Linked DNA regions of Caenorhabditis elegans. The protein of the gene in region 2 purifies or fractionates together with the protein of the main gene of each other region. This does not show direct contact. Each region holds a gene or a part of one and is shown on either strand. Other genes may lie near its edges.

Region 1 (7,402 bases), on a different chromosome or scaffold from region 2:
TTAAAAATCTTTGAGATTATAGCGAGAATTGCGTAAAATAAATTCATTTTTAATGAATTTTGGTGATGAAAAGCATTTAAAACTTTTTAATTGCCTCTTAGAATGCGTTTAGCAGTAGAGCGCGCTTGCATCGTAACTTTTTATTCTCCGGGAACAAAATCGGCGGAAAAATCTGCTTTTTCACCAATTTTTTCAAAATTAATAATTAAGATAAACAATTGTGAAAATGTAAAATAGTAAATTCTAAAAATTAAATAGAAAAATTGGCAGTTTTTCTCTAAAACTTGCAGTTTTTCTCTAGAATCTCTGTTTCGACGAAATTGAAAATCCACAAAAAACGTGGTGTCTCTTAAAATTTTTTTCAAAATTTCTTGAATTTTTCCGAAAAAAACGTTTTTCGCGTAAAACTACGATATTTAAATGTCAAACAATTTTGCAACAAACGTTTGTAAAATTGGAAAAAAAAAGCAGAAAACCTAGATTCGGGGATTTTCACGTAATTTCAGGCCAAAAATCGTTAAAAATCTAGGTCAGTTCTAGAAAATTTGTACGAAAACACTCTAAATTGGATCAAAAATCTGCAAATAAAAAATATCTTGCCCCGACACAAGAGAAGCCCAATGATTGTGGGGTGTCTGCTGCTGGCCGACATGGACACACACACACACACAAAATGTTTATTTTCGGGTTTTTGACAGCTCGCCGAGCCCTCTAAAATTATCTGTGTGGTGGTGTGGTCAGCTTGTAATCCGTCCCATTTTGACACGTTCTCTTGTGTGTGATTCGTACAAATCGTAAGAAAAATATAAAAAATTCGGAAAAAAAAGTGTGTGGGAGCAAAATTGTAGTGTGCCAAATAAATACTCCTCCGAAACAACCGGAAGGGATCGTTTCACCTATGTAAAAAGGAAATTTTCTAGAGGAAGCTGCTGTGGGCTCGAACAATAATAATGTAATGCAATGTCCAGAGAAACACAGGATTAGAGAAATAGAAAAAAAACAGGAAAATTGGCTCAATTTCTTACTTATACGTCATGAGGAATCGAAGAATCGAAGAATCGCGAATTCGTGGAGATACTGTTTTTGGGTTTTTTAGTCGGCTAGAGGACAAAAATCGAAATTTTTTACTATTTCTCGATAATGGAACACCGCAATCACTATTCGAAAAAAATTCCTTTCGAAAATCGAGCCCATCAATCGACACACGGATTTCTGGCTTCCCCCATAAAATGAAATGGAAGAGTTTGCCGAACTAGGCCATTTCGGCTCGGCCATGTCTGGGGTAGATTTACGGCGCATTGCGTGTCGCGTCGCGGCTCGATTTTGGTTGTAAAACTATATGTATTTGTCCGTGTGGAGTACACGACTTTCCCACGCGTTATCCGGAAGGCGATTGCCAATGGAGCGCAAAAAATTCAACGAGGAAGGCCAGAACCTCGTGTCGACACAAGCAATCGCTACAGTAGTCATTTGAAGAGTTACTGTAGTTTTCGCTACGAGATATTTCACACGTCCGATATGTTGCGCAATACGCATTCTTACAATTTTTGCTCCCGTGATATGATAAAAGTGTTGAGAGCCTGTGAGATCATTAAACCTTCTTAAATGATTTTAAACAAAACGAAAAAAAGTTTTCCGCTTAACATAGGCTGATTTGAAATCGAGAAAGTGAGAATCGTCACGGATAGGCGCGAGAAAAAGGAAATCAACTGAGAATTGTTGTCATAAAATTCGCTACGCTTCGGGTTTCGCGCAGCATACCGCTTTATGAGAAGCTATAAAAAAGTGACTACATAGATATCTCTAAGAATAGCAAGATTTGAGTCATTTTTAGAGGTACGCCGCCCCGGGTACCAGTTGGTCACTCATGGGAAGAACAAATACTTTAGTAGATAGAGAGAGAGAGAGAGAGAGATGGAAAGAAAAAGAAAGAAAATTCAAACCTGGTTAGTGATAGCTCGTTCCGCTGACTGTTTGACACTCCGCATCTTGCATCGAGGTGGTCTGGTATTCTGCAAAAAAGAGAAACAAAGTTCTGTTTGTTGAAGAAGAAGAACAGTTGATTTGATTGAGTTAGAGACTACGGGGAAATGAAGAGAGCGATAGACACTTTGCAAGCAGGTATTAAGTTAGATGAAAGGAATCGAAGCGGCGTTTCGCTTTCAAACAAGGCAAAACATAGATTGCCATCGTCGCGTATTTGTTTGGACAAAGGTTACAGTGATGTGATAATGTTCCGGAAAAACTTGTGTGTGTGAGTTATTATATTGGGTTTTGAATTAGGGATGCTGTCATGGGAATTATCAAAAAGTATCAGCACTGATTAACTTAAAGGTGGAGTAGTGGCAGTGTCGAAATTTTTAAATTAAGTACTCAAAAATATCATAGTAATTAAACCTTTTCAAAACAATTTTGAAAAATTCTTATTGACTGTCAAAAAGTGGCAATAACTGAGTTTATGCCATTTTTTGAAAAAAAAAACTATCTCGGCATTTACCTGCAGCTTCTTGCCCAACTTTAGCTCTCAGCAGCTTCTTACCCAAGTTTAGCCAACTTTTCATCCAAGTTTAGCCCAAGTCTGACCGAAGTTTAAGTTTTCTAAAGCAAACTATCCCACCAAACTTTGGCCAAACTTAGGTCCAAGTTTCGCCAAAGTCTCGCCCAACTTTGAACACGCGGCGCGCCTCCGCAGCGCCCTCGGCGGACAAAAAATAGGAATTTTGTGATTGGAACTGTTTAAATATCATTATTATTTTGCTAATTTAATTTAAATCCGTGAAGAATGTTTTCTGTTGTGATTAAATTTGAGTTTAATTTTTTTTAATCAATTTTTGATAGCTAAAAGTTGTTATTCTCCGATCATTTAATCAAAATTTTGAACTACTCGAAAAGCTTTTCTGAAATACTGACCCCTCGAGAATTTACAACGGCACTAGATACTTGATAGAATGTTCAGAAAGTTGGGTTCTGAAGAAAAATGGTATCAATAGAAAACTGAAATTTATTCATTATGATTTAGCATTATCGAATACAGTACTGACTGAAAATTAACCTAAACCTATGAGAATGGCTACGCGTAGGTAGAAACAACAGTTTGCAATATTAATATTGAAATTAATAAAATATTCTCGCGCGACCATCATGGCTCAACAGGTAAGAGATCAGCACAACGGGAAAAACGATAGAAGTTCAACATACAGGTGAATCTTGGGCTAAACTTGGGTTAAACTTGGGCTAAACTTGGGCTGAGTGAGAGTGGGCTACACAGCGGTTGACTTTTTTTCCTTTTTTGACGCATCGCCCAAGTTTGACCCAAGTGTGGCCCAAGTTTGGCCAGCTTCTAATCCATGTTAATTTTTTTTGGGCGAAACTTGGATTAAAAGCTGTGAAACATGGGCAAGAATCTGGCGGCGAATGCCGAGATAGCACTTTTATCCAGAAAATCGGCAAATTGCCGGAATTAAAATTTCCGTCAAAAAAAAAATGTGCCAAACGGCAATTGCCGGCAATAATAATTATAATCATGAATAGTCCATGAAATTTGATGTAATTTTTTTTTTGATTGACGACTTCAAACAAATGGGTGAAAACTGAGCTCTCATCGCTTTTTGATTCAAAATAAAAATTTTCCAAAATAAATAAATAAAAGTTTTATTATCATATTTTCTCACATTATTTTTTCTTGGCGAGACCATTTCGCATAAATGCGCTATATTTGAGCTCAATTTCTATAGATTTTCAAGTATCAAGCTCAGAAGATTTTCCGAAAATCAACTCACGTATCATGTTTATGTCGAATCACCATCCACTGCTTCATAATACAGTACTCGCGCCACGCGCGTTGTATAACCGTTGCTGCTCTGTGAGCCAGTTGCATTCCACCATATCTTCGCTCGAGCACTTGCACTTTTCGAAGAGCCAGCTCATCGGACAATTGATAGCCCTTCTGTACGAAGACACGGCTCGTCGACGTCGTGCCTCGCCATTCTTTTGTTTCTCGCATTTGGGCTGGAATTTTCAGAAGTTAACGGAACCAGAACCTTTTGTTCTTATGTCGGATTAAAATTCCGAGAGAATGTAGGACTAGTGTTGCTGAGGAATATACTAAAAAAATGAAAAACAATTCTGGAATTCTAACAAAAAAAACTGCGAATGAAAAGGTTATCAATTGAAAAAAATGACAAAAAAATGCGGAAAAATCGATAAAGTGAGCCGATTACGAGGAAAAAAAGTGGGATGATAAGGACGATGGCTGGAAATAAACTGGTCACCGACCAAGAGAATTTGTGTTAGTCACTGGCAGAAACAGAAGAAAAAACAGGGCGTGGAACTGTTAATTGATTTGATAAGAAATTGAAGAAGTTTTTGTTAGGAAGAAATGACGAAAAAATAGTTGTAAATCTTTTTTTGAGAGTTTTTACAAATCGAAAAATTCTGAGCAAAAAAAAAACAAAATTCAATAAGACTGTTGAAAAGTATAGGTTGATATATCTAATTAAACTAATTAAACTAATTAAAGGTGGAGTACCGAAATTTGAGAGTTTGCTTTTGTAGACCCAATATGACCCAGAACTACCAAATTTCGTAATGAGACATTTTGCAATTAAAAAAAAAAGTTATGGCGCTTCAAAGTTCTGGAAAAAAGGCTCATTCAGAAAAATATCTCATACGGTAACAAAATAGTCGTCAAAACTAGAAATTTCGCTTTGAAAATTGTATATAATTACTTTTTCAATATCATAACATTTGTTCAAAAACCAAACATTAAAAACATGCACATTTTGACTGGAAATAACTTTTAAACGGAACTAATTTTGTTTCAAGATGGCAAGTTGCAAAGCTCATAAATTTGAATCAAAAAGAGAAAAAAGTGAAAAAAAAGTGAAAAAAGTTGTAGCATAGAGGTAAAAGTGAAGGAAATTTGATATACTTCTCTAGGAGAAAATGCAAGGAAAAAGGGAATTGAAAGGACGAGAAATAAAAAAAAACAAGTTGAGGTCAATTTGTTCGAAAGGAAGAAAAAGAAGAAAAAAATGTCGTTTGAGATGGTCAGTTAGCAGAAGCCTCATCAAATTGATTATTGATGGAGACGAGAGGATAAAGAAAAGAGAAGAGAGCGGACAGGATTGCATAACAATGAGGCAAGTCTTCGAATAAAAGCTTGTTCTGGAAAATCCCAAAAAAGGATGCCGCGATGCGGAGGCTAATTAGAATGAAAAAGAGGGGAGGAGGAAATATACAATTATCAGGAAAAAATATATGAAATTTGAAAAAAAGTGGATTTTTTAAAGTAGGGTAGAGCCTGGTAATTCTCAAAAGTAGTGAGAAACATGAAAAAAAAGCGAAAGTTGACTAAAATTTTAGAAACGTTGGCGAATGTTGTAAGAAGTTTGAAGAAAGTTGATAGAAAGTGGAGGGATAGTTGTCGAAAGTCTAGAAGATTTGGCAAGAGTTGGCGAAGGTTGTGAGAAAGTCTATGAAGTTGGGCAAAAAGTCGAAGGAAATTTTGTAAACGTGATCGAATGTTGAAAGATATTCATCAAAAGTTGTCAAAAAAGTAAGAAATTAGACAAAAATTGGCGAAAACTAACGATAATTAGGCGACAGTTTTGCAAAAACTTGGCGGAAATTGAAGGAAATCCTGTGAAAGTTGTCGAAATTTGGGAAAAATAGTTTTAAAAAATTTCAAGATGACTAGTTGAAGATGAAGGACATTTGTCGAAAGTAGCCGAAAGTTGTCGAAAAAGTTGTTTTGTAAAAAAATTAATAAAAAAAACTCCAAGAAAGGAACTGAATGGGAGACCAAAAAAGCCATAAGAAGAGCAAAAATTGTTGAGTGAAAACATTGAAAAAGCAACCAAAAAACTGAAGGGATGATCCCCTCAAGGGGATATCGGGATTTGGCGACCAAAAAGCGGTCTGATGACAACTTGCCCGTTCTTTTTCATATATTTCTTTCTTTTTGCCTAACTTTTTCGACAACTTCCAAGAAAAAAGTTGACCTATTTGACATCGGCTTGAACTGACGCTGAACAAAAATCACAAAATATTTGAAAAATAAAGTTCCAAGAAGTGGGACGGAAGTAGCAAAGCGAAAGTTAACAAGAGTAGTAAGACGAAATTTGACGACAGTTGGCAACAGTTGCTAGACATTTGCCGAAAATCGGCTTTTGGTCGGCAAAAATCGGCAAAAGTGGACGAAAGTTGTCAGAAATTTGGCGAAAGTTGATGAAACTTGACGAAAATTAGTATAAATTTTTCAGATTTTCAGGGAAAAAAAACTAAAAAGTTGATAAGAAAATAGCTTCGTAAAACTGCAAAAAAAAAACAGTTTGAAGCATTTCCAAGAAACATAAAATATAATATGAATGGAGTGAAAAGGAGCTCCGTCAAGTGTAAGAGAGTGTGCAAGACTCGGAAACGCAGAGAAAAGATGCTTCACCTCATAAATTGATAGCGTGTGAAATTGAGAGATTGTGCTAGAGAATGTCATAAAGACATCAAGTGCTCTTTTGCAGAATTAGTACACTTTTTGGTGCGCCCCGATAAAATACGAGACGTACAGCAAAAAATGCAGTAGCTCTACTCGGAAACGAGCAGAGACGTATAAATTGCAGCTCTGTGAGAGAAAAAGTTTTAAGAAGAGCCAAAAAATGTATTGACTGAAGGTATGTTTTTTGGTGAGTAACTGAGAAAGCGAGAAGGAATGTCGAAATTTGAGATGGTAGAGGAATTTTTATGACGTGGTCATTGTGTTTTATCACTCTTTTTCGTTATTTGCAATTACTTTCGAAAGGACACAGATGTCAGATACCTTACCGCGATTGAAAGTTAGAAAAATTTGAAGGAATTTTGGCGAAAGTTGTCGAAAGTTTGGCAAAAACTGTTTAAATTGTAGAAATTCAAAGAAATATGCAATAAATTGTTGAAAATTTTTTTCAAAAATTGTTGAAAGTTGAAGAAAGCTTTGCGAAATTTGGCAAAACTGTCGAAAATAGTCGAAATGCTCATAAATTTAAATAATTATAGCAAACAAAAATAATTCCAAAACTGTCGAAAGTTGAAGGAAGCTTGGCGAAAGTTTGCAAATTTTGTCGAGAACGTTTTAAAAGTGCCGTTTCAAAAAATTATGAATTTTTGATACAATTTGCCGAAAATGTTTCAATGAATTTTCAAAAGCTCAACAAAACTTGGTGAAAGTTGTAGAAAGTTGGTGAACACTGTTGAAGTTGTAGGAAAAATGTGCAATAAGTTGTCGAAAGTTAGCGAAAGTTAGGCGAACGTTTGAAAACAGTCTAAAATCAAAAGATATTTAGAAAAAAGTTGCCGAAAGTTTTCGTAAGTTGTTGAAATGTTAACCACGCATTGGAATCGCGTCCGTACTTTAGTTTCCAAATGAGCC
Region 2 (9,105 bases):
TTAAAATTTTTTGAGCGATCAAGCTTTTCGCATGTTGAAAATGCATTTCTTTCCAGAATACGGACGAATCTCTGAAGAAGTTTCAGGAGCCAAAATGGTCAATTCGAATATTTATTTTTATAGCTCTTTTAATTTCTTTTTCAATTTTACTAACAGTTTCCTACAAATCAATGATGGTAAGTAAAATAAATAAATAAAACTTGGAAAAATCAGAACTTTTCGATATTTTCCAAAATAAACTTCACTAAAACGTAGGCTGAAAATCAGAAAAAATATCTGAAAAATAATAAAAAATTTTGAAATTAAAGTTCTTGTGTCCACCAATTAGCAATGTTAGCCACGCCCCGCGAACCACTGATTGACCGATTTCTTTCTCATAATTTCATAAATTTCAGATTCCGAACAAATTTATCGTGAGATTATCTGGAAAAGAGCGCGCTCCTCTGAAGCATATAACAAGAAGCATCACGAAATTCGCAGATTATTATTTTACAGAGTATGCAAAACCTACTTATGTTTTGAAATTAAAAAAAAAACTATTCAGATCTGAAAGTCGATATTTAAATTGTGCTAGACTAATCGACGGAGATGTGGAGTCCATTGACACATATGTTAATAATGGAAGAATGAAGTTAGATGAAGAGAAATTATTTCAACTTTCAATGGATTGTGATTCAATTCAAAATCGTATTTTTCGAGATATGCCTCCATTTGAAAAATTGAAAAGACCTATTGCATTTGTTCGAAATATCTATGGAATATATGAATTACAAGAGGTTTTTCTATCCATTTCATATCACCCGGATAACTATTTCTGTTATGCAATGGATTCAAAAAGTAGTGAAAAATTGAAGAAATCTATGAGAATAATGGCTGATTGCTTTGAAAATGTGATTGTGTTGGATAAAGAATATGATATGGATAGAGCTGGTCATAAACAAGATGCTGCACATTTTGATTGTTTAAAACAAATTCTTGATGAACATTGGAGTCATGCCATTACATTACAGGTAAAAAAATATTTTCTTGAAATTCTGAATTGTTCTTCTTTTCAGTTTTCTTTCTTTAAAAATATTATTTTCAGAACTTCGACTTGATAATCAAATCTCCTAAACAACTATCTGATCTCAGTGAAATTCTAAATTACACCAGTATCATGGGTTTTGACTATGGATTTACAAGTAGATATCGAACATTTGAAGATTGGACTCCAGCTGGAATGAAACTTTTCAAAAATGGTTTTCCTTTTTTCATGTGGGCTTATAATTTTGATAGACTACATTTATTCATATAGAGAATAGTACAAAATAGAGATGAGAAAACATTTCCTAAAAGTACCAAAACTTCTTTGAGCCGACTGAATTATTTCTTAAAAATAAAAAAATAAATTTTAAAAAACCATTCCAAAGGCTGATGCCGCCTAGACTTTTATGCTTTTTTTCTTTTTGCACATTACTTAAATTTTAGGATTTATAGTGCAAAACGTCTTTAATTAAACCAGTCTCACAAAAAGTACAAAATATTTTCTAATCGAACAGCACGAACAGGTTTGCGTCTTTAAGGTCCTGTAGACTTGAGATGCTACAGTACTCCTTGCTTGGAGGCCTTTGAGACGAGGTGCCGCATTCTTATATCGAAAAATTACATGACAGAGTAACATAATTTTATTTTCAGAACAAAGTGTACCTCTGGAAATACTCCACAAAAAACTAAAAATTCGAAAAAGTTTAAACGAAGTAATCCTTTCGAAGGTATTTGTCAAGTCTTTATTTGATAAAGTGAATCTGCAAAATGTAATCAAAAGATTTGATGATAGAACGGTAATGTTCTACTCTTGAAAACGAGAATAATATTCAATTTCAGCTTTTTGGGGTTGACGAAATGATGGTTATGACACTTTTTGAAAACTATTTGGGATTAGATGGGCAAATGGAATCTAATTGTACCGTGGCAAAGGAAGATATATTAACACGGTTTGTATAGGATAGGCATGCCTTCATTTGTTTGTGCCTGCCTACCTCATGTCTGCATGTCACCTATTTTTTTGCTCTTTATTTGACTCTCTTGAAAATTCTAATGATAATAATTTCCAAGTGTACCAAGTGCAGAATCAGGCTCGTGTAGGTCACCTTGAAGGCAGGCTTACATTGCAAATAGAAAACTGAAAATTACAGTCAAACTCATTGGCATCTTGAACAATCCGACGGACTATATCAAGATTGTAAATCCAAGTGGTTAAGGCATTCAATATGTGTAATTGGAGTCGAATTTCTACAAGAACTTTCAAAAAGTCCGATGGTTATTGGTGATTTTTGAACATTCATGTTTATAAATAAATTGATTTTTCAGCAAACAAAGTGACCGCCAACTTCGATTTTGGAACGATAATTTGCGTTCGTGAAATGATAAAAACCAATAAAACAGGAAATAATCCAGATTCTCAATGGCTTTCCTACTTTCCACAGTTTCGTGAGATGTTGTTGAAAGCTAATGGAACTTATTACAAGAATAGTTTTCAATGTTGATCAAGTTTTTTAAAGAAAATTTTGTTTATTATTTTCAAATTTTTCACTAAACAGTTTTCCTCTGAAAATCATGTTATCTGCATTTTAAATTGAATTCAAATGAAAATTCAACTAATTCATCTGCTGAAAATTTAGAATAACGAACAATCAAGAGATTTTTGAAAAGATGATGTAAAATTACATTCAAATACCAGTAAACCAAAATTTAGAAACAGGGAAATATGAAAATGGAGAAACGGAAACTACGCTTGCACATAAACTCAAACAAAACATTTTCACTTTTTCTTATTGCTCAATGAGTCGTAAACAGCAAGTGCTTGAGAAACCATACTTCCTGGATCACTGAGATTTGCCGGAAGAACAACAGTATTTGATTCCTTGGCAAGATTTCCAAAAGCTCCAACATATTGCTCTGCAACGGTCAATCCAGCAGCATTTGCACCTCCATCTTTCTCAAGAGCCAATGCAATACGTTCAATAGCTTTGGCACGAGATTCGGCTTTAAGGATTACTGCTTCTGCTTCTCCCTTTGCTACATTGATACGTTCGGCTTGAACAGCCTCAGACGCCAAAATAGCTGATTTCTTGTCTCCTTCGGCCCTGGAAATGTTTAAATTTAGAATATTTTTACAACTCTCACGATGTTACTGAATGAAATGTGTAATTGGAAAAATATTATACCTATTAATGGCAGCTTCTCTGATTCCTTCTGATTCCAAAATCGCGGCTCTTTTCTTTCTCTCAGCTTCAACTTGCATTTGCATAGCTTCTTGAATTTTTGATGGCATCTGCATATCTCTGATTTCGTATCGCATACATTGAATTCCCCAAGGTGCTGATGCTTTGTTGATTGCAAATACAATATTTTCATTGAGCAATTCCCTCTCCTTGAATACTGTATCCAAATTGATTTTTCCAACTTCACTTCTCATCGTTGTCTGCGCTAATTGAGTTACTGCGAATTCTGGGTCATCGACTCCGTACGATGCCTGCAATTTACAAAGAAGTGTTATTTTTCAATTACAGGCGAATCAAAAAACAGGCGTCACATGCCTTGTAGGGATCGAAAACACGCAAATAAAGAACTCCGTCGAGCCTGAGTTGTACATTGTCAATTGTAATGGCTCCTTGCTCAGGAATCTCAATTGCAATTTCACGAAGATTTTGAACGAATTTGATTTTATCAATGATAGGCAATAAGAAGTTGAGTCCCTGAAAAAGTTGGTTTATTAATTACCTTTTAGGAAATGTTACCGGTTCAAGAATCTTGTAGAACTTTCCCATTCTTTCTACAACCCACGCTTCTTGCTGTGGAACAAAATTGATGACAGTATTATGTGCAGCATGGGCCTGTCGTGATGATGTCACAGCTAATGGGAGCGTTGAACTTCTAAATAATATAATTGCCCCCCTCACAATAATTTAATTTATCGGCCTACCTTAGAAGAGCTGACGAATTCATTAAAAGTCGATTAGTTAGCGCCATTTTCTGTAAAATCATTTTTAATGATGCAATGCAATTTCGAAAGATTCAGCAGTTTAAATAATGTATTAGTGGGAGGAGGATGGCAGAAAAGTATTTCGTCATGGTGGTGGCCGAGTGGGAGAGATAGATTAAAAATATGCACATTTACATCAGGACTGAGAGATTTTAATATAAACACCACTATTCTTCAATTTTTAAGAAACGAAACGTTCACAAAGTATAAAAATATAAAGAATAAAAATACAATTAATTTAAAATAATGTCTGTGTAGATTTACGGTAAACAACGCTCCCATATGAAAGACGGAGTGTCGTCACCCGTTTCCACGTTTTCGCATTCAAAGAAAACATGTTTCATGTATTCTATCACTATTGTTGTATCTCTTATTGATTTTTTTGTTTTCATGCGTCGTTCTTCTTTTTCATATTTTTTTTCCACAACAAACTTCATTCCCTTTTCAGCTCTCCAAAATGGTGGATAGTCTATTGAGTATGGACATCTACGAGAGTTTCAACTTGTACTCACACCCAGAAAAATTCTTCTTAGAACCAACCGATCTCGGCGGTGGTGCTGCGTCGAAACATTATCTCGAAATCGATAGACACACAAATGTGATGAAAATTATTGGTAAGTCTGACTTTTGGTCTGATCTAAATATAAATTTATAATTACAGATTCACGCAAGCAGCGAGTTCCAATTGCTGATACGGACATCAAGTTTATTTATGGGATTTTGGGAACAATTAAACTAGTCTCAGGATATGCTTTGATCGTAATAACAAAGGCTTCTTTGATCGGACAAGTTAATAATCACAACATCTGGACTATTCAAGATGCCGAGATTATTCCTTACAAGAAAACAACACTTCACTTGACTGAGAAACAAATTAGATATAATAGATTATTCACTGATATGCTCACTCATGTGCTGTCTATTGGCGGATTCTACTACTCGACGACTCTTGACATCTCACGCACATTTCAATGGCTTCAGGAGAACGCTGTTCCTTTGTTCAAAACAAGAAGTATGTTGGACAGAGCCAGCGAACGTTTCATATGGAATGGACATCTACTGTCACAGATCCGGCAGGTCCCTGGTGCAGAAAGATACACATTGCCCGTTATTCATGGTTTTATTGGCCAGAATCGTGTGAATGTGAATGGAAAAGAGATTAAATTGACTATCATATCCAGAAGAAGCATTTATCGGTAATTTTTTTTACTTAAAAATGTTTTAAATAAATTTGTAATAATTAAAAAAACGTTTATTTCGATTTTCTGGACAAAAAATTAATACTTCTAACAACGAGCTCGCTTTTCACAAAAATGTTTTGTCTGAATCCAAGATATATTAGTTTTAAATAATTATTAACCTTTTTAGTACGAATTTCATGTTTTTTCATAGTTTTCTCTGAAAAAAAAACTATTAGTATAATTCAATTTTTCAGTGCTGGCGTCCGTTTCTATAAACGTGGAGTCGACGTAGATGGTCATGCAGCAAACTTTGTTGAAACAGAACAAATCGTTGAATACACGAATCCTGACAAGCACCTGACTTCGTTTGTGCAATTGAGAGGTTCTATTCCTCTTCTCTGGACTCAAAAACCAAATCTACGTTGGCAACCGATGCCTACACTGAAACCAACAGATGACCAGCTTGCTGCTTTCAATCGAGCTTTTTCGTGGCACAAGCAACACTATGGTGGTAAACATGTGATTGTAAATCTTGTAAATCAAAAAGGAAGAGAGAAAAAAGTTGGAGGAGAACTGGAGAGAATATCACGACAAGCAAATATCGAATTTGTTCGTTACCATCAATTTGATTTTCACAAAGAATGTCATTCTATGCAATGGCACCGAATTGATTTGTTGCGGGAGCAGTTAAGCCAAGAAATTTCGAGTTTTGGATATTTTTACTTGTCCCCGAATAGTATGGAAACAAGTCGATTCCAACGTGGATTTTTCCGTACGAATTGCATGGATTGTCTAGATCGTACCAATGTGGTTCAGTCGATGTTGGCACGTGAATCACTCACCGAACAACTTCGAATGCTTGGAATTTTATATTCAGAGCAGAAAGTTCAAGATATTCCACTTCTTGAAGATGCATTCAAACAAAGTGAGTTTAATCAAAGTTATTTTTTTGAAAAACGAAAATCGTTTGAAATCGAAGGTTGATTTTTTAGAAGATCAATAACTGACAATGAAAAAAATATGTAAAGTTTACAACTTTATTCCAAAAAAACTCAATATTTTGATCTGAATTCGCAGATTCATGAGTGTGTCAGTATATCAATCATTTTCGCTCACTTATTTTTCAAAAAAAAATGGGCAAATACTGTTTTACTACTTGATTTTTTACTACGTATCTCTTTTACTACAAGATCTCTTTTACTACGGAATCTCTTTTACTACGAATTCCGCATTTAGATCTTTCACTACAATTGGCTCTTTCACTACGTGTTCTCTTTTACTACGATTTGATCACATAGATCTTTTACTACGGAAAACACTTTTTTACTACCTTATCTTTTACTACGTGGATGTTTTACTACGTTTTACTCTTTTGCTACGGACATATTTTTACTACGTGGAGGGGTACTGTTAGGTTACTGTAGTGGTATTGTGTAAATAACAGTTTTCAGATTATATACTATAGTTTTTTTTAATTGCTAGAAATATATTCACTAGGAAAAATTTTTTACTAAATACAATGGCAGGGATTATATTTTTAACTATGTTGCGTAATTTTTACTACGAATTAATAATCAATATTTATAGTATAAGCTAGATATAAACAAATGCATGAATATTTTCTAAAAATATATAGGTCACAATTGAAGTTTGTGCTCAAGTAGTTCTAGTAAATTTCAGTTTTTTTGGATACTGAGATTGAGTTAGTGGAGGGATCCTGTTGAGTTACTGTAGTGATACTGTTGTTGGAGTACTTAACTTTTTTCGCGTAACCAAAAAATTAGTTCCATACCGGTTGATGTATAAGTTTTAAAAATGTAATAAACAACTTGCGGTTCGGTCAGTTATCTGTCAGATGTTTGAAATTTTGACTTCAACTGAAATTTTGGAACTTTTGATCAAAAATTTGTTTTTTTCTGGATTTATCAAATCTTGTATAAAATAAGCAGTTTATTGTTTTCTATCATCTTGAATGTTCATATCACGATTTTAGATTAAAACAACAGAGATAAGTTACCGAAAGTGTGTTCACAAAACTTATTGACTCCGAGTACCGATAACTCCGCGAAAAGAATTTGGTAAAAAATGTTCAACTGACAAATTGTAGACCATGCTATATTCAACAACTTTGTAGTTGAAATCTTTTTGACACGACCGAGATAAGAGTGTTTAGCGAGACTGCATTCTCAAACGTATCGGACCTACATTTTTCTTTTTCAGAAAATCTTTTGAGAAACATTTATAGAGGATTTTGCAAATGTCATGAATGTTTCTGGAATTTTTACAAGTTTTACAAGAGAGCAAGCTCATTTCATAGTGAATAAATTTCTACAGTAACCTAACAGTATCCCTCCACGTAGTAAAAATATGTCCGTAGCAAAAGAGTAAAACGTAGTAAAACATCCACGTAGTAAAAGATAAGGTAGTAAAAAAGTGTTTTCCGTAGTAAAAGATCTATGTGATCAAATCGTAGTAAAAGAGAACACGTAGTAAAAGAGCCAATTGTAGTAAAAGATCTAAATGCGGAATTCGTAGTAAAAGAGATTCCGTAGTAAAAGAGATCTTGTAGTAAAAGAGATACGTAGTAAAAAATCAAGTAGTAAAACAGTATTTGCCAAAAAAAAATGCAAAAAATAACATTATTGCCACAAACACGAAAAAAAACCAAAAAATGGAAAATCTACACCCCTGGTCATCTTGTCAGAGCATAGATTATTTTAAAGTATAGTTTCAAATACCAATTACTTCTATTGAAATATGTTTCAGTGTGGGCAGATAATGGTGATGAATGTAGTCGTCAATATGCTGGAACAGGCGCATTGAAAGCAGATTTCACTCGTCACGGAAGACGGACATATGTTGGAGCAATGAAAGACGGTGTCAATGCAGTGTCCCGTTACGTACGAAATAATTTTGGAGATGGATACCGTCAAGATTCAATTGATCTCTTCCTTGGTAACTTCCTAGTCGATTCGTCAGATCTTCCTGTTTCGCTGGAATCTTCGATTCTATCAACGGATCAGAATGGTCTTGCCCTTATTGCCGCGTTGTTTGCCATGTCAATGACAATTCTTTGTCTTTTGGTTGCAGGTACTATATTAATCACTTACTATTGCACACGATACTCGATAATATTCCGAATCCTTCAAAAAAAAAACATTTTTTCAGACAACTTCACCGCAACAATCTTCTGGATGGTCATTTTCTTTGTCTGTATGATGTTCATATTTTTGAACGGCGAAGAATTTGTAAATGCTCCGAAGCTCAAACTGGACTAATGCCATATCTGTCCGAAAACCGTTCATTCCTACAATCAAAGTTGCACCCCTTTTTTGTGTATTTATTTTTTCGCGTTGTAGAAAGAGAGAGTTTATTTATTGTAGATGAAGTTTGTACTAACAAGTTTATTATGCAGAGAGAACAACTATTTTCAGTAATACATTTTTGGCACTGTAACACAGTCAAATTTCTTTGGTTTTGTTCTTCAACACACATTATGAAGTGTGAAGAAAAAACAAAAATAAAAATTGAATGAGACCCATTTGGTAGGGGGGAGAGAACGAAACGACGCAGAGAAGAAAGATGGGTAAGATGCAGAGGAAATGAATTGACTGGGATCAGATGGGAATGATACAAACGGGAGGAGTTTTACATCGGGAGGATGTCATTAAAAGTTGACGGAAAAAAGTGATAAAATATACTTTAAATATTCAGGAACATTTCTACTTTTTCTTCTCGAATGATGAAGATGGTGTCACGGGATCTTTCTGAATAATACAAATAGATTTAGTTGATACTAAAATTGAATTCTCACCGAAACAATAGGTTCCATAGCTTCAACAATACTATCAAGACCAAGAAGGCATCCTTCGTCGGCACCAGAATATGCAAGATCCTAAA
Region 3 (7,491 bases), on a different chromosome or scaffold from region 2:
CCACAAAAGAGGCGGAGCATAAATATTTCGTTCAGCTCCGCCCATTTTTTGGGTCTTGCGACGAAAATGTGTCCCGTAATCTTAAAGCCTTACGCATTTTCGTCGCAAGACCCAAAAGTGGGCGGGGCAAACCTAGCCACGCCCATTTCTTGGTAGATTCCGATCTGCCGAATTTTTGTCCATTTTTGAAAAAATATGAAAAAGATGGGCTCCGAGATATATTTTCTCTGTGAGACCCGAAAAATGGGCGGTAGATTCCGATCTGCCGAATTTTTGTCCATTTTTGAAAAAAATTGAAAAAAATGGATTTTTGGTAGATCGCGGGCGGCCCTTTTTTGGGCGGGGCTTAAATTCCAGGAAGATTTTTTTTCGAAAAACACGATCTGCGGTCACAATTTCGTCGCGAGACCCGAAAAGTGGGCGGGGCGTAATACGCCACGCCCCTAAATTGCGCGGGGCTTAACAAGGCACGCCCACTCCTTGGTAGACCATGGGCGGCCCATTTTGTGGGCGGGGCTTAACTTTCTGAATTGTTTTCCCGAAAAATATTCGGGGATCACGATCTTCGCAGCGAAAGTGGGCGAGACATAATAAGCCACGCCCGTTCCTGGTAGATCATGGACCGACCAATTTGTGGGCGGGGCGTCAATTTCTGGAAGATTTTATTTTGAAGAACACGATCTACGGGCATAAATTCGTTGCGAGTCCCGGGAAAGTGGGTGGGACGTAATACACCACGCCCCTTAAATGGGCGGAGCATGTCTGAACACGCTCATTTCTTGGTAGATCACGGACCGACCATTTTGTGGGCGGAGCGTCAATTTCGGGATTTTTTCCGAAAAATATTCGGATATCACGATTTTTGCAGCGAAAGTGGGAGGAGCTTAGTAGGGCACGCCCATTTCTTGGTAGATCGTGAACCTGCCATTTTGTGGGCGGGGCTTCAATTTCTGGAAGATTTTTTTTTTGGAAGAACACGATCTACGGAAACAAATTCGTTGCGAGCCCCGGGAAAATGGGCGTGGCATTGCTCCGCCCATTTATTGGCTTTTTGTAGAAATTGTACATAGATTCGATTCCCGGCGATATGCGTTCCCTAAAAAATTGTCCGGCTAAGCTCCGCCCCTTTAATGGTGGATTTCAGATTCCAACCATTTTTGGTCGTTTTTTTTTCGAATTTTTCAGCCAAAAATGCCAATTTTTCAGAAATTTTCAGCCTATAGGCGTAGGCGCCTACCATTTCCCTCATAACTATCCACGTTGAGAACCACTCGGGACATCTGAAATATTAAATTTAAATTTTTGGCCTAAAAATCTGAAAATCTGGCAGCAAAAAATATTTCGTCCTAAAGAAAATCAACTATAAAATTGGCCAAAAAATCGATTTTTTAAATATATTTTTCTCCATAAAAAACGATAAAATCACAGATAATGGCAGCGAATATATTTGGAGAAAATTGGAGGTCGCCGCGGCCGAGAAAAACCTCGGTCATGGAGCAAAAATTGGGGAGAAAAGCAGTGATTTTAGTGTTTTTTTTCGGGGGGGGGGGGGGAACTCGGGAAAAACAGTGGGGAAATAAGTGAAAATTGGGCACCTAGGGGGGGGGGGGGGGGGGAAATTTTGGAAATTTATTTTTTTGGGGAGCATTTTGAGCATTTTTTTCGAGTATTTTCTGTGAATTAAAGAGAGGGAAAATAGGAATAAGCATGGCACACACAATGTTAAAATTTAAGGGATTGAAAATTTTTTGAAAAAAAAATTTTTTTTTTTTTGAATTAAAAAAAAATTTAAAACAGAAAAAATTGCAGATAAAAAGTGAAAAAAATACTGTTAATATTTGGCAAGACGCGAATTTTTTATTCCAAATTCTTCAGATAATGTGTTTTACGGCTTGCAATTCTGGCTTAGCCACGTCAGGCCTTCGTGTAGGCCGTCTCCGGTTGAAGCACATGATGGTTGGACGTACCTGCAAAGAAATTAATTGGAAATTATGGGTGAAAATCCGTGGATTTTTAGGTGAAAAATGAAGGTTTTTGATTGAAAATCTGAAAAAAATCAATTTTTTCGGTGAAAAATTGGCCTAAAACCGACAATTTTCGAGTTTGGAGCGTTTTTTTTTAAGGAAAAATGGGTTTTTTTAGTGGAAAAATTGCTGAAAATCCGGAATTTTAGGTGAAAATCGGTTTAAAATCGACATTTTTCGAATTTTGAGCGTTTTCAGGTGGAAAATATGGGTTTTTTAGTGCAAAAACTGATGAAAATGCCGTAAAATCCGGAATTTTAGGTGCACAATCGGTGTAAAAACGGAAATTTTCGAATTTCAAGCACTTTTTGATGAGAAAATTGGATTTTCCGTGAAAAACGGATGAAAATAGCTGAAAATCTGCAAAAATTCGATTTTTTTTGGGAAAATTGGCCAAAAACCGACAATTTTCGAGTTTGGAACATTTTTTTTAAAGGAAAAATGGGTTTTTAGTGAAAAATTGTTGAAAAACTGCTTTTTTTTTGTAGAAAATCGGTTAAAAAAAGGAACTTTTTTTGAATTTTGAGCGTTTTCAGGTGGAAAATATGAGTTTTTGAGTAAAAATTGGCTTAAAATAGCTGAAAATCTGGAATTTTTGGTCGAAAATCGGAGAATTTTCGAATTTCAAGCACTTTGTAATGGAAAAATGGTTTTTTTTTTGTGAAAAAACGGGAAAAGCCGGCAAAACGAGTTTTGGGCGTTTTTTAAGGGAAAAATTGAATTTTTAATGAAAAAAAAATGTTGAAAATATGAATTTTTGTTAGAAAATCGGTTAAAAACGGAAAATTTTCGATTTTCAAGCACTTTGATGAAAAAATTGAATTTTTACTGAAAAAATGCTGAAAAACTGCATTTTTTGATGGAAAATGGCTCTAAAACGATAAATTTTCTAATTTTGAGCGTTGTCAGGTGGAAAATTGGATTTTTAGTGCGAAAACTGATGAAAATGCCTTAAAATCTGAATTATTTGGTGAAAAAACCGAAAAAAAGGCGAATTTTTAGAGTTTTCCGTTAAAAAAAAAGAAGAAAAATTTCGTTTCTGGAGGTTTTTTAGAAGAAACTGAGGGAATTTTAAGCGAAAATCGCTATTTTATGCTTTTTCTCCGAGAAAATTTAAAAAAATTGTATTTTTTGCATAAAAACGAGATTTTTAGTGAGAAATAATCGGAAAAATTTGATTTTTACACCAAAATCTGCATTTTCTACCCATTTTCCGAGAGAAAATGGGTGTTTTTTGATGTATTTTTGCAGAAAAATCAGTTTTTCCTCGAGTTTTTGATGTTTCTTACCAATTCCTGTCTCGAATCCTCGTCAATCCCAATTTATCCTGAATTTCGTGTGGTTTCATCGCTGAAAATTGCATTTTTAGTGAGTAAATCCATTTTTTCAGTAAAATCGGGCATTTTTAAGCAAAAAAAGCTGAAAATTCGAGTTTTTAGGTTAAAAATCGATTTTTTCCGAGTTTTTCGGGGTAAAATCGCTCATTTTTGAGCTGAAAATCGATTTTTTCCGAGTTTTAGGTGTAGCATCGCTCATTTCGCTCAAATTTTCCGCCAAAAAAGCCACAAACCATCGGCAAGATCCTGTTTATTGGCAAAAACCAAAATAATCGCCTCCTTCATTTCCCGATCATTAATTATTCGGTGAAGCTCCATTCGCGCCTCGTCGACTCTGAAAATTCCGAATTTTTCCGTTGAAAAAATCGATTTTGTCCAGGAAAAAAACCAATTTTTCCGCATTTTTCGCCTAAAAACCTGTCTCTATCAGCGGCGTCCATCACAAAAATGAGCGCCTGAGTTCCTGTGTAATAATGTCGCCAGAGGGGTCGAATTTTGTCCTGTCCGCCGACGTCCTGAAGAAAAATTGGGGTTTTTGGGGGTTTTTAGGCCAAAATCTGGGGTTTTTAGGCCAAAATCCAGGGTTTTTGGGGCGGAAAACTCACCCAAACGTTGAATTTGATATTTTTATACGTGACAGTCTCCACATTGAAGCCCACCGTCGGAATTGTGGTCACTGATTGCCCGAGCTTCAGTTTGTACAGAATTGCTGGAAAAAAAATCGATTTTTTCCATATTTCTAGCCGTAAAAATCGAAATTTCCGCCAAAAACTCACTGGTTTTACCCGCCGCATCGAGTCCGAGCATTAATATCCGGAGCTCCTTTTTGCCAAAGATTTTCGACAGGAATTTACCCATTTTTCGATCTAAAAATGTGATTTTTAGGCAAAAAATACCGAAATTAGTGCGATTTTTGAGTAAAAAACTTGAAAAATCAACAAAAATGAGTCATTTTTCGCGAAAATTCGCTTTAAAACGGCGGAAAAAGGAAGAAAAAATCAATTTCCGCGTGGCTCCGCCCAGTTTTGCAAGCGGCGCGCGTGCTATTTGCAAGTGGTGCGCACGGGATTTATTGTTTTCGTGTTTTATTTTTCGTGGAATAAATCGAATTTATTATTGATTTATTCAATTTTTTCAGATTTTCAGTGAAAAAATCATGAAAAATTGCTAAAAATTGAACAAAAAATGGTGGAATTAAGTCTGGGAGTCTTTTTCCGATCGTTTAACGCATCGTAAGTCTATTTTTCGAGCTAATTCACCTAGAAACCCTGAATTTTTTCCAGAAAAGTAATTCTCTGCGCTTGTCTGCTAATTTTCACGGCATTATTCACGTTAAAACTCGATGGAAAAGTCTCATTTAGGTTGGAAATCCTCAAAATATCAGAAATTTCCCGAAAAAATCGATTTTTCCAGCTACGCATTCGTTTTTGCGCCGCTATGGGCCTGTAATCTCCTAGTTTTCGTCGGAGCCATCGTCGGAATTTGCTCTTTTTGCTCAAAACCACCGTCGAGGTGGGAAAAGCTGGAAAAAGCTGGAAAAATGTGGAAAAAATAAAGAAATTTGACATTTCAGAAACGAAATTGTGATGCGTGTCGACTTTTCGGCTATGCTAATCACTGCTACCGAGCACATTTTTCTTTGTACATTTGTTTCGCTGGTTTTTATTAAGGTAAACGATGGAAAAGCGGATTTAAATAGATAAAAATGAAGAAAAATGGCCAAAAATCGAGTTTCTACGTGGAAAAGCGAGTTTTTCAGCGAAAAAACCGAATTTTTTGGACAAAAATCAAGAAAAAGCCGAAAAAATTGCGTTTTTTTCTTGATTTTTTGTCAAAATTGCTTGTTTTGACCTTAATAATCGATAAAATGGGTCAAAAATGTGTAAAAATAACCCTTTTCAAGCCAAAAAACTACATTTTCTGACCATTTTGCTTGAAAAAAAAGTGAAAAATCTTCATTTTTTAGAGCAAAGCTCAATAAAGTAGCTGAAAAATCGATTTTTCTACAGTTTTTGACTCGAAAATTCATAAATTCATTCCTTTTTCACTGAAAAAATGAAAAAAATGAAGAAAAATCAATTTTTCAACTTTAAAATCACAAATTTGCCCAATTTTTTATTGAAAAAATCGATAAAAAAAGGTTTTCTATTTTAAAATATTCAAAAAATCCAGATTTTGAGGTGTTTTTACCCAAAAAACAAAAAAAAATCTATTTTTTTCGATATTTTAACCTTAAAAAATGGAAAAAATCAAAATTTTTGGACTTTTTTACTTTAAAAAAATCGTAAAAATCCAGATTTTTATGTATTTTAGCCCAAAAAAAATCTAGTTTTTTAGTCTTTTTTACCCCAAAAAATCCCAAAAATCCAAATTTTCAGGTAATTTTACCCTAATAACAGCAAAAAATCCAGTTTGTTGTCTTTTTTACTCTAAAAACAGCTAAAAATCTAGATTTTTGGTGTATTTTAGCCCAAAAATCTGGTTTTTTAGTCTGTTTTACCCCAAAAAATGCCAAAAATCCAAATTCTCAGGTCATTTTACCCTAGTAACTGCAAAAAATCCAGTTTGTTGTCTTTTTTACTCTAAAAACAGCTAAAAATCCAGATTTTTATGTATTTTAACCCAAAAAACTAGAAAAATCTAGATTTTTGGTGTATTTTAGCCCAAAAATCTAGTTTTTTAGTCTTTTTTACCCCAAAAAATGCCAAAAATTCAAATTTTCAGGTCATTTTACCCTAATAACTGCAAAAAATCCAGTTTGTTGTCTTTTTTACTCTAAAAACAGCTAAAAATCCAGATTTTTATGTATTTTAACCCAAAAAACTAGAAAAATCTAGATTTTTGGTGTATTTTAGCCCAAAAATCTAGTTTTTTAGTCTTTTTTACCCCAAAAAATGCCAAAAATCCAAATTTTCCGTTCATTTTTCCCTCCAAAACCCGTATTTTGTTTTCCAGCTAGAATTCGATTATCTCTTCGAACCAGGATATCCACTTCCATGGACAATTGTATTCTGTCCATTATTCTCTTTATCAATATTATCAATTGGAATAGCTATATGGTCCCTCCGGCATGATAAACCATTCGAATTTGAATTTTTCTACGCAATTAATATTGTTCAGCTGGTTTTTATCGCTTTCAAGCTGGATAAACAGGTAAAAAATCGAGGAAAAATGACTTTTCCAGTGAAAATTTTGAATTTTTAGTACAAAAATCACTAGAAAACCCAAAAAATTCGCTTAAAAACCTCCAAAAATCCACTTTTTTGGTTAAAATCACAGCAAAACCAAAAAGTGTACGGAGCCCAACAGGAGATTCTGGTTCCGGAGAAACGAATCTATGGGAAATGTTCACTCATATTGGCACCGCCCAGTTCTTGGCTGTTGGGAATTTTAATTTAAAACTGTAGAAACGGATCCAAGAAGTGGGCGGGGACTAAATGGGGATTCCGGTTTAGGAGAAGTGAATCTATGAGAATTTTTCACTAATATTGGCTCCGCCCACTTCTTAGCTTGCGGATATTTTCATTTAAAACTGTAGAAAACGGAATAAAGAAGTGGGCGGAGCCTAAATGGAGATGATAATTCCGGAGAAGCGAATCTATGGGAATTTATCACACATATTAGCTCCGCCTACTTCTTGGCCTAAAAAAAATCCATTTTTTTCTATTAAAAAAAAATCACAAAAACCCCAAAATTACCTAAAATAATCAACATTTCCCAAATTTTTGCAGGTCGATTGGACATGGGCAGTCGTATTCATACCTCTATGGGTGGTCCTTTCCCTTGCCGCTGTCGGTGTTCTCTACGCTCTTGTGCTCTCCGTTGTGCTCATCAGATCTCGTCATTTCATTCCGGCTCACCGTCGCCAACACGTTTATTCTGCGATTTTACACACGTTTTTCGTGAGTTGAGCTAATTTCAGCTAAAAATTGCCATAGATTCGCTTCTCCGATAACTACGATCCCAACATAGGCTCCGCTCACTTCTTGGTTCTTTTTTTTTCTACTATTTCACGTTTAACAATTAAAAAAGCCAGTTTTGAGTGAAAAATTCCCATAGATTCGCTTCTCCGATAACTACGATCCCAAAATAGGCTCCGCTCACTTCTTGGTTCTTTTTTTTTCTACTAT

Evidence for each region.
Region 1: the proteins of sacm-1L (region 2) and bris-1 purify together in Caenorhabditis elegans (affinity purification with western blotting, with the first as the bait; one study listed by BioGRID). This does not show direct contact.
Region 3: the proteins of sacm-1L (region 2) and arf-6 purify together in Caenorhabditis elegans (affinity purification with western blotting, with the first as the bait; one study listed by BioGRID). This does not show direct contact.

The regions. Positions count from the first base shown.
Region 1 is NC_003282.8:3,815,321-3,822,722, forward strand, and holds the start of bris-1 (SEC7 domain-containing protein), read right to left. Parts: upstream 4,009-7,402; 5' UTR 4,004-4,008; coding exon 3,780-4,003; intron 2,013-3,779; coding exon 1,944-2,012; intron 135-1,943; exon of another isoform or gene 48-134; coding exon of another isoform or gene 1-47.
Region 2 is NC_003279.8:9,484,016-9,493,120, forward strand, and holds sacm-1L (Phosphatidylinositol-3-phosphatase SAC1), read left to right. Parts: upstream 1-4,472; 5' UTR 4,473-4,481; coding exon 4,482-4,638; intron 4,639-4,685; coding exon 4,686-5,220; intron 5,221-5,459; coding exon 5,460-6,130; intron 6,131-7,971; coding exon 7,972-8,295; intron 8,296-8,373; coding exon 8,374-8,483; 3' UTR 8,484-8,605; downstream 8,606-9,105. Other genes in the region: gly-21 (GLYcosylation related), read left to right, coding at 57-176, 396-496, 545-1,010, 1,085-1,238, 1,675-1,820, 1,864-1,973, 2,175-2,305, 2,350-2,525; Stomatin-like protein stl-1, read right to left, coding at 2,801-3,125, 3,207-3,514, 3,579-3,737, 3,780-3,915, 3,965-4,011; F30A10.3 (Kinase), read right to left, coding at 8,928-8,972, 9,020-9,100.
Region 3 is NC_003282.8:16,943,856-16,951,346, reverse strand, and holds arf-6 (ADP-ribosylation factor 6), read right to left. Parts: upstream 4,228-7,491; 5' UTR 4,220-4,227; coding exon 4,138-4,219; intron 4,071-4,137; coding exon 3,967-4,070; intron 3,877-3,966; coding exon 3,779-3,876; intron 3,696-3,778; coding exon 3,595-3,695; intron 3,375-3,594; coding exon 3,314-3,374; intron 1,968-3,313; coding exon 1,886-1,967; 3' UTR 1,613-1,885; downstream 1-1,612. Other genes in the region: rad-54.B (DNA repair and recombination protein RAD54-like), read right to left, coding at 1,238-1,280; Y116A8C.9 (Transmembrane protein 185B), read left to right, coding at 4,547-4,593, 4,645-4,722, 4,775-4,873, 4,935-5,031, 6,317-6,514, 7,093-7,263.